Drosophila melanogaster: one gene and its partner. The protein of the gene in region 1 purifies or fractionates together with the protein of each later gene. This does not show direct contact. Each region holds a gene or a part of one and is shown in the gene's direction. Other genes may lie near its edges.

Region 1 (6,722 bases):
GTGGGGCTCGAACCCACGACCCTGAGATTAAGAGTCTCATGCTCTACCGACTGAGCTAGCCGGGCATGTGTTCTTGACATCTGACTGTCAAAATCATCGAAATCGTAATAGTTTTAAATTTAAACTTATACTATAAGCTTAAAGAATAATGGTGGTATAAAAACCCTGTGGTGCTAAAAACAAGACGAAAGCGTATTGACTAGTCCCTCGCCCATCTAGTCAAGTTTAAAGCCCATTTGCATTTAGATAAAGATCAAGCCAGCTTATCCTTACATGCATTTTTATCTACCTATTTAAAAATAATTCTATTCAGCAGGTTTTGACAAGATAAATAAATTGTAATTTATAGATAAATTGATTTATAAAAAATCATAAACCATAATAAATCATTTATATAATTATATGTACATGAGCACATCGGCTTTAAGCCTAATTAGTTAAGTAAAGGATATGTGATAGTCGAGAGTCTCGACATAATGGGTTTCCTCTGGTAATCAATTAACTATTAAAATTTGTATATTTACTACAAAATATTGGTCGCCCAACGTGGGGCTCGAACCCACGACCCTGAGATTAAGAGTCTCATGCTCTACCGACTGAGCTAGCCGGGCAGGTAAACAAAATTGCCGTCTGTCAAAACTCGGGAAAATATATCAAATGGGGTTAGGAACTATAGACATGCGTCTAGTATTTTGTTTAGAAATGAAAAACAAGATAGAATTCTAAAGTCGTGTTCCCTGACTATCAGATACCCGTTTCTCAGCTAGTGTGAATGCGAACGCGAAATTTCATAATTTTTCTGGGATATTGATAGATATAGAAAAATTGGAAAGGTTTAGAACGTTAGAGTGGACGTGGCAAAAAGTTTTTTTTTAGCAAATCTATAGAAATTTAAGCAACTAATAACATTATGAAAAAATGTCCAACAATTTTTCAAATATATGTGGGCGCAGCCGATTTTGGCGGTTTTAGGGCGTTACAGTGAGCGTGGCAGCATGGGTCAACAAAATTGCCCTGCGTCTTTGTCTCAAGTCTCTAGAATCTGTATGCTGAATCTCAACCTTCTAGCTTTTATAGATCTCGACGCTCATACGGACAGACGGGCATGGCTAGATCGACTAGGCTATTGATCCTGATTAAGAATATGTCTACTTTATATAGTCGCAAACGCTTCCTCATGCCTGTTACATACTCCTCAACCAATTTAATTTACGAGTAACGGGTATAAAAATCATTTTTATATATAATTACATCCATCCATGTTCGCATATGCTTTAAGCCTAATTAGTTAATTAAAAGATATCCGATAGTCGAGAGTCTCGACAATTGATTTTCTCTGGTAATCAATTAACTATTAAAATTTGAATATTTACTACAAAATATTGGTCGCCCAACGTGGGGCTCGAACCCACGACCCTGAGATTAAGAGTCTCATGCTCTACCGACTGAGCTAGCCGGGCAGGTAAATGAATTTGCTGTCTGCCAAAACTCCGGAAAATATATGGGGTAAATGGGGTTATGAACTTGACATTCGTCTAATATTTAGTTTAGAAAAACAGTCACGCGAATTTTTAATCGAACATACTTATTTTCGTGCCAAAAGAGATACGCCCTTTTTAAATTATTAAAGACAATGATTTTATCATATCATAATCATATTATACTGTGTGCAATTAGAATCATAGACGACCCCTAAGCTGTATATAACGTGCAGTTTTTAGCACTATGTACCCATCCTCATACTGGAAAGCTTGTTAATATGAAGGCTACTTTTACAATCCTGGTGCTCCAAGTGGTCATCTGTTTGGCTGGAGCGACTGAGTACCAGTTAACATTGGACAAAGATGGCTTGTTAGCACCATGCGAGAATCAGCCCGGAAATCCTTCTGGTTTTGAAGCGATGGTGGATACTTCCTCCCTTAAAGTACATAACCTTGGTTCGAAAGTTCGAATTGAAGGAGAGCAGAAAGTGGTCTGGAAAGATGTCCAGCCTGGAGACACATTAAAGGCAAGTCCCTAAGGAAACTTTTCCTAATAAACTATTTGAATATCGCGCAGGTATTTGGTCAAGTCTATCGCCTGGATAAGGGCACTTGGCAGAAGACTATGTTTACGGCCAGCTCCAATAACTTTTGCAAAAACATGTTTGATAAGAACCAATACTGGTATAATTTCTGGACAAAGTATATTAGCAACTCCGACGAGATTAAGGAAAAGTGCTTGACCACACCAGGGGTAAGAAAATGTACCTCCTAGTTTGGTCACTGGTCATTTCTCATAAACACAATATTGTAGGCCGTTTTAAAGTACAAAGACTACGAACTGGACTTGAAGACCAGCTTGAATGTTCCGAATCTGGATGGGCGCTACAAGCTGGTGGTCCAAATAGAGGCCTTCGATAAGCGCAATGTAAGGCGCCCAGTTCCCATTTGCATAGAGTTCCGTGGAACTGCAGGACAGGTCTAATCACGACAATTGTATATGCATGCTGAACATACAGCGAAACACCATTAAAGTCTATAATTGGAGCACATCAAACAAGGTGAATAATGGTGGTGAGGGGGGGGAGGGTGTGGTGTTGTTGTGTGTCATTACACGGGTCGCTAAAGTTGAATGCGAACTTCTGAACTTCTGTTCAGTTCATCATGGAATCCAAAATGAGTCGGCCGAAGCAACCGGACTGGCTCGCCGAGCTGTGCCAGGAGTCCTCCATCCACGGCATGCCCTACATCGCCCGCAGGGATCTACACTGGGCCGAGCGCCTCTTTTGGACATTCATAATCCTGGGCTCGGCCTACTACGCCATCAGCAGCTGCCTTAACCAATGGTACCGGTTCCGGGACAATCCTATTGTCTACGAGTACGAATATCTCTTTGGGCTGCGCATCTTCCCCTTCGTGGGGATAACACTGTGCCCTAGGTACCACGACGAAACGGAGATCCCAAGGCTTATAAATCAGTGAGTGTTTCGATTTACATTGGTAAATTGAAAGCACTAATATATTATAAAATATCAAGAACTTGGGGAGTGGATCCCAGCGAAGACAAAGAAAAAGCTGTGTACTACAGAAAGTTTCTGCTTGCAATCAACGGCCTTCGTTACTCCACTCTGGAGACGCTGGAACCCTTCGAGAATGATACCACTTTGGACAACGTGAATTACTTGAACATTTTGCTCACGCTGCAAAAAAAGGTAATAGCGGTTAAAATCCCGCCAGAACTGGCGCCAATCATTACTGAGGTGGGTCTGTGCCAAACATCCAGCCAGTTAAACCGATACGGAAATCCCTACGGCAAACTGTAAGTCTGCGCCTAAATAACATTAAATATAAAACAAAAAAAATAAATTATTAAATAATAAAATAAATAAGCTATTCTTTCTTTAATTTCGCTTTTTGCTTTACATATTTTTTGTGCCCATCAAGAGAATTTACATTTACATTTTTACTTAACGCTTTTATCTAAGAGAAACACAGGATATGGAACCCATGAAACAGTGCGGCTATTTGAGTAATTGCATCACATCTCTGAAGCCTATAAATAGCATTGTTGCCCCCATATTTATGGTAGGCAGCATTTATCATTCTTTTTTGAAATACACTGTTAAGCGAATCCAACTTTACAGTACCTTCACGATGTCGAAGAAATGATGCTACCCGACGACATGCGAACTCCCTCTTTTGATGCTAAAGACATCGAATCCAAGGATCTCGATATTATGCTACATACCACATCGGCGGAAAGCGAGGTGCGAAATCTACCGGTAGCATATCGCAAGTGTCGCTTCAGTGACGAAAACAATCTGCAGTATTACAGTGTGAGTTTTAGACCTTTACCCGTACCAATTGCGTCCAATCAAAACAGCAACATGTCCTTTTAGCCCTACCACCCAAGTCTTTGCCGACTTGAGTGCCGAATCAAATGGGCCCTGAGCCTGTGCAACTGCAAGCCCTATTTCTACGTAGCAGCTCCCGAAGTTCCAATCTGCACAGTATCCGGAATGCTCTGCCTAGCCCGGTCCAAGTGGCTTGAAAGACCATGCGATTGCTATCCGTCTTGTCGCGAGGAAACCTTTACCATCTTCAAAGTGTCTGACCAGACTGGGGTGGGTGAAAGAATGTTGTATCCTTAAGCCCCCAATTATTGCAATTTAGAATTTACTTTCTTCAGGGCGATGACAACTACTCTGGCGAGAGGTTCGAGCGGACGCTGATCATCAACCTGCAAATTTCGAGGATGGGCATAAATCGGCGGGTTGTATTCAGCACGGATCAGTTGATAATGTCGTTTGGTGGAGCCATTGGCCTCTTTCTTGGAGCCAGCTTCATGACCATATACGGCGTGGTATACTTTTTTCTAACTTTCATAGCTTATACATGCAAGAACCGATTTTGCAAGCGTTTTTTTTTTTAAGTAATTAAAATTGCTTCTTAATATATACATATATATGTAGGTAATGCAAATATATACATATAAGTTAAGAACCCTCTTCTTGCGCTCTTCGTCAGGACTCACCAGCGCTCGGCTCTCGTGTTTTCGGGCCCCGTCAGCAGGCGACTCGGGGCCTGTCTAGTAACATGTTCGTGTAAGTTACGAACCCTCTTCTTGCGATCTTCGTCAGGACTCACCAGCGCTCGGCTCTCGTGTTTTCGGGCCCCGTCAGCAGGCGACTCGGGGCCTGTCTAGGAACATGTTTGTGTATGTGTGCATTCGGAACAAGTGCCGTTGGTCGCACTCAGGGTGAGGGGTCAACGGGGGAAGCGGATATAAAAGCAGCGGGGCGGGAGAAGAGGTCCCAGTCTCGAACGGACACATAACGGAACCGCTAGCAGATCGCGAACTGAATCTTAAAATAAAGCTAATCGTAAACTCGAACCCTCTTAACTATCTTGACTATTATTTGGAGAACCACAGCATGTTGGTTGTCATATCAAGGTGAGGTATGCGGCAGCGAGTGCCGAGAACCCTGATGCAAGTGGAACTTGCGTTAACTGGCGCCCGAACAGGGACCGGCAATGTCCGGCCGATAAAAGTGATACGAAAAAATTGTGGAAATTTGTGCGTAAAAATAGTGGTGGTGTGCATAAGTCAGATTAAGATCTGAAATCCATAAATGAAAAAGAAGTGCTGCGTGAGCTGTGTATAAAATGATAAAATAGCAATTACCCGCTGCCGGGGGGAACTACGCCCATCCCGGGGCGCAACAAATATTGCATAATTCAATAAAAGGTGTAAAATTTCTAAAATAAAAATGTAAACCTATGTTGCGCCAAGACCTAATTTAAATTAATAAAACAACGACCCGCTACCGGAGGACGCCACGTCGCCCATGCCGAGCGCAAAAGTTGTACGATACCTATAACATAATTAAAACACGATCAACCCACTGCGGCGGTACGGCTTGTGGGAAAATTTTTTTTTTTTTCTCTCCTTGCCAATTCGCGAGTGCAAAAGATTGTGTATAATAAACCAATAATTAACCATTGCAGCAGTTTACCTGCGGCAGTACGAGTAATATGAGCGCCCAGAGTGATAAGGTGGTGTGTGGCAGCTTGTTGGATACGTTAAGTGGTGTGGAATGCACCCAAAAAAAACCGCCCAACAAGTTGTGTGGCGGCCGTACCTTAGTAGGCAACCAGCCAAAAGGGATACTACGGAACCACCGTGCCCAGTGCCGAAATAAATTAGAGGTCATCAATAAAAAACTGTAACAGCACGCACGCAAGGAAAAAATATTGCAAAATGGAATAGCGCACAAAAATTGTATAAACACATGCACAACACCACAATTCAAAGGAAAACAAAATATTCATGCTGTAGGGGTACAACCTAAACGACGAAAACTAATAAAGAGCATACAAGGGTGAGTGAAATATTTCATTAAACTTTATTGCCATATTTGCTAAATTTAGAGAAATAAAGAAAAAGCAAAGAAGAACAGATATTCTTTTTTATCGGGTTAAAACCGTTGTCTCACATTTCCGTAAAGTAATAACGAATTCTGTTGCCTTGAAAGCTTCCTGCATCTTTCCAACGCAAACTAAAAATCAAAATGGAAGAGACCCTGCGTGCTCTTAGCGAGTCCCTCAATGCCCTGACCAACGTGGTGACAGGCATTAAGGAAGATATTAAGAAAAATAATGATAGGTTGGCTATTTTAGAACAGGAGCGCGGGAACGCTGACCCTACGGTCGACCAACCGCAACCCCTGGTGCGCGCACGCACCGAGTATGAGCTGAGAGAGATATCGGTCCTCCCTGACTGCGTCAAAGAACTGCAGGCGTTCGAAGGACGGCAGGAGGCTTACCTGTCTTGGATAAACAGGGCACAGTCAATACTGACCGAATATGACTTGATTAAAACCAGACCCCTGTATAGGGCAATTGTCTTGCATATTAGACAGAAAATAAGGGGACACGCCGACATGGCCTTGGCGGCCTATGGCGTCCAAGACGACGATTGGGACGACATAAAACGAGTCTTGGCGCTGCATTACGCAGACAAACGAGACTTACGTACGCTTGAGCATGAGCTTGGCGCTATGTGCCAAGGTTCTAGACCACTAGATAGGTTCTATATGGACGTTAATGGCCATCTCTCGTTGATCTTAAATAACTTGAAGGCCAGAAACCACCCTCGTGAAGTAGTCAACGCTTTGATAGAAACCTATAGAGACAAGGCTTTGGATGTTTTTATCCGAGGAGTGGGGAGAGATTGTTCCA
Region 2 (9,372 bases), about 17 Mb from region 1:
TTCCAGTCGGAGGTGGCCTTGGCGATGTCATCACCGATTTTCTTGGGCGACTACAGAGAGACACTTTTGTTAGCGCGAATTGCACAAGTAAACAAACCGATTTGCATGCTTACCAGACCGAGGGGACCGATCTTTGGGGCCAGGGAGGATGTGGCACCGACTTCTCCGCCCACGCAACGCAGGTACACTGTAATTTGGGTGCAGAAATTCGTTATTGAAGATAATCCTCTATTATAAACTACGGTTTGCTCGAAGCTCAACTCCTCACAAAAACACTCGCTTACTTACCCAATTTAACTTCCGTTGGGTCGAATTTGGGAGGCATAGCGGTATCTTGGCTTGAACAGTCGCTGTAAGGCAAAGATTACGTTAGTTTTCGCCGATTTTATTTGAGACATTTTCAGCTCATGTACTTTACCGCAAAAAAGACACACAGAAAAAGAAAGAAGAAGCTATCGATTTCCGGGAGGACCGTTTGCAAGTGATGTATCGCCCAGTGCTATCGGAATAAAAAGTGTCTCGAATGGAACGCGGAATTGAAACGAGTGTAATGAGTTTATATTTTTATTTATTCTTAATTTGAAATTAGGCTTTAAGAAATCTTTTTTTTTTGTTGAAAATGTTAAATACTAGTTGATATATTTTAAGTTTAATTAAAATTCAGATTTACATTTTTTTAACTACATTTCATAGCGGTCGTTGTAAATATTTTTATCTTCTTGTTAGTTCAGTTAGTTCAATTTTGTTAGTTCAATCTAATATTTATTTATGATTATGCAAGTAATTTATATCTGCTAGCTGAAGAAATACTTATTTGAATTTTCTCTATCAACTTACTAAACCGATTTACAAGACAATTGGTATATCGATTGATTGGCATTTGGCTTAAAAAATTATCGATTATTCTTCTAATCTTACAACTTATGAAAATTGTTTTTATTGTTTTTGTACTTTTACTTGACCTTTCCGAAAGTCGGTACATCAATGTTGAAATGTTATTTAACAACGGCATTTAAACCGTACATATGTACATGTACATACATAAATTGGTACTATACGAAATTCCGACCTGCCTCAAACAATATGCCTCCTCCATTCTCTATATCCGAGTACCTTATCTTTTTCAGGATACACTACACTTTTAAATGGGGTGTAGCAAAGCTCAGTAGCGTTGTCAATAATACAAGTTCATCTTGTACCCATTCAAAACCGGTAGCGTCACCCCATCTGGTTCCCGCCGTTTACCATCACAATGCTAAGTGACGCCATTCATTCGTGCGTCCAGACCAACATTTTGTTTACTTTTCCCATTTAGCTGTGCGAATTAGAATAAAGTTTGCTGAAATAAAGAGCTTAAACCCAATGAAAAACAGGAGAATCATAGTTTTACGGATGACGTTTAGGTAAAAAATTTTATTGGCAAACGTGTATCTTGTTACTTAGTTATTCAAACATGATGCTTCGAGTTTCTGTTATATTAATTACAATCGTTAGAACCAGATTTAAGATGTAGAGCCAACTAGCCTATAACAGCATCTTTGAATAAATTTGTTTCAGATGTAAATGCAACAGAAATTTACAGCGACACATTTTGCCTATTTGTCCAGAGCAGTATTGGTTTTAATTGCGATAACGCACTCCTCTCCGCACGCCTTGAGAACGGTGCACTGAAAAAGTATAATTAAATTATTCTCTGCGAAATAATAATATGGTGTCGAGGCAAACTCACCAGTAAGTCCTTGCCACTATCAAAATCTAAACGCAATTGTTCACCCAATTCGCCCTCTGGAACCTTCAAGTCTTCACGCAGATCTCCGCTCTCGGTCATCAATGTAAGGAAGCTATCGTCACTAATAGCAATCAACTGAAGGTCCTCCCTTTTGACATTGGGCACATCCATGTTATGAGTAGATGGGCAAATATCTTCATATCTGCAAAGACGACGATAGACAAAGCAGGCGTTAAGTAAGAGGATCTGGATTTGGCTTGAGGTGGCGTCGCCGCGTTGAACTCTAATTTTCCTCCATAAATTTATTGATAACTTTGGTCCAAGATAAGATTGCTTGCGCACACTTTTCGTTGATTACATTCAAGAGCAGCGCGTCGCTTCCTTTGTGTTCTCCGCAAATGCTGCTGCCACCAGATAGGAAGAAATATGCGAATATACTCACTTCTTGTTAGAGAAAATATCAATGCCAACCATATGAACCTTGGCGTGTCCGTGCTTTCCAGTCTTTGAAGTAGACATCTCGACAATCTTGCATGGCCGCGACTTCAGCATGACGAATCCGTTTTTGCGCAATGCCGAACATTGCATGGGATAGGTCGTCGATGCGCCGGAATCCGTGGTCTCGAATTGATCGTCCAACTCAGCCATATCTGCCGCACAAGACACAAGATGTGATTGAATTAATTATTTATCTATTTAATTAACTGCCGATTAATTGGGATTTGAATGCATTTACACTTAGGCACAAAGACACTAGCTGGTGTTGAAAGCACATTATATACCTCGGCGTTCTATGGGTACATACAGACACAGACGGATTCGCACATATGTATGTAAATACGTGTGTGTGCAAGCCGAAAAAATGCATACATACGTATGTATATATGTGTCGGCAAATGTATGTATCCGAAATGTCATATGCCAAATTGCATACCCAGGCACTTGGCACTTTAGTGTTCAAACATTTAATTTGGCAAAGTCATCGAGACACACGGCACTTGAAAGTTGTGTACTGCATTTTTGCACTTGTATGTGTGTATGTGTGCTTGTGTGAGTGTAAGCACTTTCTTTCGCATATTACTGAATGTGCCGAGATGACCGGAGGTTAATTCTGGCTTCCAAGCCGTTTTTGACCGTCTCCTCCGGCTGTAAGTGCCATTTAGGTCGTCCGCCGCTTCTCCGGCGAATTTGCAATTTTTTTATACACAAAAATGCGAAATTACTAACCTACTTGCAAAGTCCAGTGACTGTTCCAACCGAAGATGTAAAATGAAAGAACCCTGCTATCGAATCAAACCCACGTTTTGTTTCCGGTCAATAATAAGAAACGCACAGTGCTGCATCTTAGCACACGGATTGTCAGCACCGGTCGCTGTGCCAGTTTAGGAACTGTGGGAATGGAACGATAAGGCCGATGCCGTATTTTCGCCAAACTTACAATGGCCTGCCAACTCAGTCTTAAATTTGAAAACAACTATTTATAAGCTATATGTGTATGTATGTATGTATGTTGCAAGTAAACACTTAATTTTTTGTTTTATTATGTATTTGGTGCTTAAAATGTCTCTGTAAGTATAAATAATGGTTAAGACTTTAGTTTGCTCTGTTCATTTACACAATGTATACGCATGACTCGAAGACTATAGCAATTTACTGCTGATTTACTTTTTTAAAATAAACCTCAATGGGCAACGACGGTATGAAATTATCGTTTTCCAGGTGCGACATTTTTCTGGACCTTTGCGGCTTTGACCTTGCCTTAATATGGGGCTGCCTCATTTTTAAAGTACCACTGGAAATAGTCATAATTGCCGATTCTGTGACCAAAGCGTGTTTTTCTTCTGATATACCATCGGCGCGAGATTTTGCCAAAGTGTGACTTATCGCCTGCGTAGCGTTTCGAACGATAACATTATCATCGACCTTCGTCGATTTCCGGGGTGTTGCTGTTGTTCGGCGCTTAAGCTTTTTTATCGTTTCGATATCGGTATCAGCTGTTGTGTTTTTCGCGGCTTCTGGCATTGCAGTGGAGTTCAAGTGCTTGCGCCGTTGGTAAATTCTTTTCGGTAAACTCTTTTTGAATTCTCCCATGGCTTTGCTGGAATCTGTAGAATTTCTCGAAATCTGCACCGGAACCTTTTTGGTCGATGCCAAAACTCGCAGTTTTCTCAGTTTTCTATTGACGTTTGTTCTTCTTCTTGGCGGTGTGGGCGTAGTTGTTGTTGTAGTCGTTTCCAAAGTGGTGTGGTTGTCAAGAACAGCTGTAGTCGTTAGATTCTGAACGTTCTTCGGCGTTTCCCTAGTTGTAACCAGGTTTTTAAGATGAAGCTTCAAAAGTTTCAGTTTAGTTTCAATGCTTGAAGAGAAGTTTTTGGTCGCTTTCAGGGATTTTAGTCTGTGCTTATAGGATCCTGTCGTAACATTCGCCGTGGAATAGACGTTCTGAGCGGGTTGCGGAGTTGTCCATTTCGGGGGATCCTCAGAAGCCGCAGCTTCGGTTGTTGTGGTGCTGGAGGTAGTGGGGCTAAACCAGCTTGGTCGGGTGCTATATCTGTACTCCATTTCCAAAGCAGTGGTTTTCCCCGGAAAAGTGAATTCAGTGGTCGTGGTTGTTGTAGTTGGAGGCGGCGTGGTGTGCTGAAACCGCTCGGTGAAAAGCTCCTGGGGCCTTTCCGTTGTGAGAATTTGGTGACTGGGCCGAAATTGCTGGTCTTGTGCTGGAGATTTGCCGAGTTTCGATGCGGAATGGGGGAGAATCACGTCGTCAAGGGTGAAGTAGGTGTGCGCAACGTAGTTGAAGTAGGGCAAAGTGGTTGTCGTGGTCACCGGCAGGTCACTGGTCTTGCTCTGCGAGCTGTATTGGTCCTTGGCATACTCCTGGAACGGAATCTGGAGGCAGTTTTCGCGGCACTTGTTCCAGCCGTCGTTGGAGGCGTGGGTTTCGGAGTGGTTCCACAGACTCGGAGCGCCAATGAGGCGTTCTGCGCTCGGAAGGGTTCCCGTCGTGAGGGGCACGAAGGCGTTGACTGGGGCTGAACTGAAACCAATAGGTGCGTTTACCGGAGGGGAACTGTACTCAATCGTGTTGAGCGGGGCCGCAACGAAGTCAACGGTGGAAGTAGCAATGGGCAGGAGTGTGCTCTTGAACCCATTCACTTGGCTCAAGTCCCTGAAGATGCTCCTGAAAGAAATCCACTATGATTATACGTATGCACAAATGGATGATATGTGCGCTGATATAGACCTCTTCGAGTTCGCATAGGCCTCGTGGAACTGGACAGGTGAGGGCACGTATCGGGGCAGCATGTGCATGTTGCGCATGTAGTTTTTTAGACGCATTTTGCCCACCAGGATCGGGGTCCTAGCGTTGTACCAGTAGAACTTTCGCATGGCGTTCGGGTGCTGTCTATAGAGGACGATCCCTGGATGATCCACGGGCCACATCTGAAAGTCGATGCGGGCGTTCATACTTTCGCTTTTCCTGGCGTCGAATGCTTACCTGGCGTTTTGGCCTCATGTAGCTGGCGGATGACTTTATGCTCAGCAGTATGTACAGCAGTCCTGAAGCGAAGCGGGTGAGCTTAATTCGAATTTATTGATTTTAACCTCCATACCAGTGGTCATGTAAATGACAATAATGCTGCCTTTCACTTTCCCCAGCATCTTGAGCGATTGATTTTGGCTGCAGACAGTTCAAGACTAGCAGCATTGGTTTTTCATCCACATTACTTGCTACTTGGCTGGGAATCAAAGAGATGATCGACTTTTCAGGGATATATGCATTTGCCAGATCACTCACACTTGTGGTAAATGTGCATTTAATTTTCTTATTATATTTTATCCGCCTAGGTTCCCGAGTGAATGATTGTTGCCAAGTCAGTGCCCAGATGCTGCATCCAAATGGTGGCGTGTGTGCTATGGAGCATAAAACGCAACGCTTGGACAAGCCCATCTTCAGTTATAATTGTTGCATCTATATAGTTGGATACACTTTCAAAAGGTATGCACACTTTCGCAGCCCAACGAACCGATTCCCTCGCATCTTTGATACCCATTAGTGCATCTGAACATTGCGTGCAGTATGCAGTTGCATTTCAAAGCTACGAGTATGTTTTCTTCTTATCTCTCCATTAATCTAAACGACACGCTCGATTTGCATCAGAACTTGCGTGCATCCCTCCGTATTTAAATAAAGGATGGACATCATATATTTTCGAATTAGTCACGAAGAAATTGTGGAAAGGATTTCATGAATACGAAATGTGGCGGAAGTCAGTAATGAATTTTCGAGGATTTATAAGGTCTTTTGTGGAAAATAAAGGGTAAGAGTCAGCGATTCGAGGATATTGTCTACGGTTCGCAAAACCATCACTCTTTGCAGGCTGCTTTGGATTTTTGTGATTGGCATTTCTGGATGGAGCACCGTTTCCATATTGGTTCTATTGAAAACCAGATACGAAACGGACTCCACGACAATAGGGGTCTCGACCGCCTACAGTCGCTGGATAAACACCTTCCCATCGATAGGAATCTGCTTAACAAAAAGCCGAGCGTTTAACGAATTCAAGGCAATGATGCGGGAGTATTTTCAGGAAGACTTTGCCTTCTCCTTTACAAGAATGATATACGAATATGCTTTTCTCAACCCCAACAACATATTTACGAAGGAGCCTACCAAGAATACAAGTTACCCGTACAATTTCAATATTTTGGATATAAGAAGAAAGGTGTCGGTGTCGCATGGGGGGGGGGGGGACTTTGGATTATATTTGAACTAAATTACCATTTGCACTTCTAGATGTTTCCAACCAATTGTACTGAATGCTTTAAAGAAATATACTTTCGTGGCGAATTGGTGACAGACTGCGAGGAGATATTCAAGTTTCATGTGACGGAAATGGGCTACTGCTTTCTGGCGAACAATCTATTGGACTAGTTAGTGTTAATATTTAGTAGTTCAAATCGCGAATAAAATAAATGCCTACTCCAGTGACAGCATCGAAGAAATGCCTCTCAGGTATTCTTCGTTGGATAACAACCGAAGTCTGCGACTCTACATGCGAAGTTCTGTTATGTATAAATATGAGGTGAGATGGGATACGTTTCGCTGGGCTAACACATAGCTAACAAAATAACACTTGTGCTCATCATCTAAGATGTACGTCAACAGTCCCGAGGATCTGCCCTTCTTCAATTCCTTGACCTATACCATCTCCACCGACCCCACAACATACGCCTTCAACGTCGAGGAGATTCACAACCACGAAGGTGTCATCGACGAGCCCATTTCCCAGCGCAAGTGCAAGTTCCCCAGCGAGAGTTCCATCGAGGGGTTTCCTTACAGGTAGGAGTAGGTGAGTGAGTTACTCATCCGGAGTTACCTGCTTCTGCTTCTTCTTTTTCTGTTCCACGCAGCTTCTCGGCCTGCATGTCTATCATCCGGAGTGAGTTTGAGATGAAAACTTGCGACTGCTCTCTATTCAACCCAAAGGATCGCAGTACGTGAGGCACTTGAATGATGAAAGTAAAGGTGACTTCATTGCCCTGTTTCTTTTGCAGACGAAAGTCTCTATTGCGGATTGCAACACGCGGATTGCTTGATTAAAGGTGACTATGTCTTAGACTTTGACCGATGAAATCCGTTGTCAATGTTAATGATAATCGAATTACAGAAGGGTTTGCAACCAGAGTTAAGGAGTACGTCGGTAGCAGTACGGTTTGCCTGCCATCCTGCGTGGAGCAGCAGATAAGTCTAGTGGGGTAAAGGCCCCAAAATAGTTTATATCCTTGCTAATAGCCCATCTTCTCTGGCAGGGTCATAACTGAAAATGGAACACTCTACAATAATAATACACAGATCACCGAAATTCAAATAGCCTCTCCACCCACGGTGCGGTACGAACGAAAAGTCACCCAGACCAAGCTGGATCTAATAGGTATGCCTGCTGCCAACCCAATCGGCTAACTTCGGAACTAATCCCGCCGAATCCCGTTTCAGTCGGCATCGGAAGTGTGGCAGGACTCTTCTTCGGCGCCTCCCTGCTGAACCTACTGGAGATCATTTCGTACTTCATTAAAAAACTCAAGACCATGATTTTCGGTTAGGACCTTTATTGCTTTTCGCTCTTTAGCCTCGCAACAGCTTGTGCACAAATAAATAAGATAATTCGGATTGAGCGAGCATAAGTGAGCCCTAATTATTATTATCGAACAAGTCAAGGTGATAGTTTGCGATTTCGTTTTCTATAAAGATATTAAGGTCTCGGGAGTTATCATTCTTAACTTTATGCACAGAAGTATTAACATTTTGTTTCTTATAACGCAGCCCGACTCTGAAAAGAAGTACGTAAGACAGCATTCTCCCGCAACGTGGTATTCGCTTACATTCTTATAGAGGGTATGTCAGGAGAGCTCCTCATTTTGTCGGAGGACTTTGCTCTCAGGTAGCGGTGCTTGATATCGACGCCAGAGTGCTCGTCCTGAAAGGAACAGGATATGGCCACCGTTCAGTTATGCACTCACTGCAACGAGGTCCGCTTACTCACATCTCTCATGTTATAGGTGATTACCAGGTTGCTAACGAAGCTCTCCAGGAACTCCGGATACGAGTCCAGCACGTCCAGCAAATCGTCCCTGTGCAGTTTGTGGATATCACAGTATGTCAGTGCTCTCACCACGCCGTTCGACTTTCCGACCGTTGGGTAAATACACGGATTTTCGCCAAATATATCGTTTTTACCTTGAGCAAGAGGAGTTTTGATTAATTATCAATTGCAAATGCCAACGAACTATAACTTCTTATGCAGTAGTAATTAAAGTAAACTCTGAATGTACGGAAAATCTAGCATGCAACTATATCTCTATAGAACACAGTTCACAACTAGAAAAAAAGAAGAGGTAGAGAGTGTCTTATTTATGAGTTTAATTTTATGTACGACAGTTGGTCCGAAATCACTGAACTCACCAAGTACAACAATATTGCCGGCTCTCTGGATTTCTATGGATCCCCTGGCTATGAAGTACAATGAGGTGAGCACATCTCCTCGGTGTACTAGGATATCGCCAGGCGGGGCATGGGTGGTTTTAAACTTAAGGGAGAACGCTCTGCAAGTTCAAGTACTCGTTCATTTTCCATACTGGTTCGCTTGGACACAAACTCACCGTAGGCAACCAGGACTTGCCTCCGAGAAAGCGGCACATGTCGTCAATAGCTTTCTGTTCAAATGCAGGCAAATGTCGGCTTGCAGGCACTCGGGGAATCCCTTGAGCAGCGAGTTCATGTCGATGCCATTCGTATCTGAAAGGGCAGTGGATTATTAGAGGATTAGGCTAGGGAAGAGGAAGGAGGTCAGATGGTATTACAGGTCCAGGCGTGCTGAAAGTACTCCTCCAGTCTCTGCCTGAGCGGGTTCGGTATCTGCAGAATAGGAATAGGTGCTCAGTTCTATACTTATAGGATGTGCGTGCTCAATACCTGGTGAAAGCGAATGAACTCCCTAACGCGCAGCATTTGCGTGTGATATCTGGCGGTTCCCGAGTACAGCCTTTGAATAATGGCAGATACGTTTCCAAAAATACTTGCATACATAAGAGCTTGAGGGGGGAAATTAAAGGTCTCATTACACGTATTTAAAGAAATATAT

What was found.
Region 2: the proteins of ppk25 (region 1) and ppk29 purify together in Drosophila melanogaster (affinity purification with western blotting; one study listed by BioGRID). This does not show direct contact.

Annotation. Positions count from the first base shown.
Region 1 is NT_033778.4:6,947,746-6,954,467, forward strand, and holds ppk25 (pickpocket 25), read left to right. Parts: upstream 1-2,639; 5' UTR 2,640-2,645; coding exon 2,646-2,959; intron 2,960-3,018; coding exon 3,019-3,300; intron 3,301-3,466; coding exon 3,467-3,566; intron 3,567-3,625; coding exon 3,626-3,817; intron 3,818-3,880; coding exon 3,881-4,105; intron 4,106-4,170; coding exon 4,171-4,413; downstream 4,414-6,722. Other genes in the region: CheB42a (chemosensory protein B 42a), read left to right, coding at 1,760-2,008, 2,059-2,235, 2,296-2,466.
Region 2 is NT_033778.4:24,051,491-24,060,862, reverse strand, and holds ppk29 (pickpocket 29), read left to right. Parts: upstream 1-4,910; intron 4,911-4,973; coding exon of another isoform or gene 4,974-5,173; intron 5,174-5,228; coding exon of another isoform or gene 5,229-5,290; intron 5,291-5,343; coding exon of another isoform or gene 5,344-5,392; exon of another isoform or gene 5,393-5,557; intron 5,558-5,578; 5' UTR 5,579-5,729; intron 5,730-5,891; 5' UTR 5,892-5,989; coding exon 5,990-6,051; intron 6,052-6,110; coding exon 6,111-6,456; intron 6,457-6,527; coding exon 6,528-6,664; intron 6,665-6,719; coding exon 6,720-6,816; intron 6,817-6,885; coding exon 6,886-7,073; intron 7,074-7,144; coding exon 7,145-7,227; coding exon of another isoform or gene 7,228-7,235; exon of another isoform or gene 7,236-7,288; coding exon 7,289-7,336; intron 7,337-7,401; coding exon 7,402-7,489; intron 7,490-7,543; coding exon 7,544-7,665; intron 7,666-7,727; coding exon 7,728-7,834; 3' UTR 7,835-7,922; downstream 7,923-9,372. Other genes in the region: RpL12 (ribosomal protein L12), read right to left, coding at 1-50, 114-187, 289-325; eEF5 (eukaryotic translation elongation factor 5), read right to left, coding at 1,596-1,667, 1,730-1,931, 2,172-2,377; CG13563 (uncharacterized protein), read right to left, coding at 3,380-4,910, 4,974-5,173, 5,229-5,290, 5,344-5,392; sei (seizure), read right to left, coding at 7,923-8,061, 8,114-8,208, 8,275-8,468, 8,694-8,833, 8,891-9,026, 9,092-9,146, 9,204-9,322.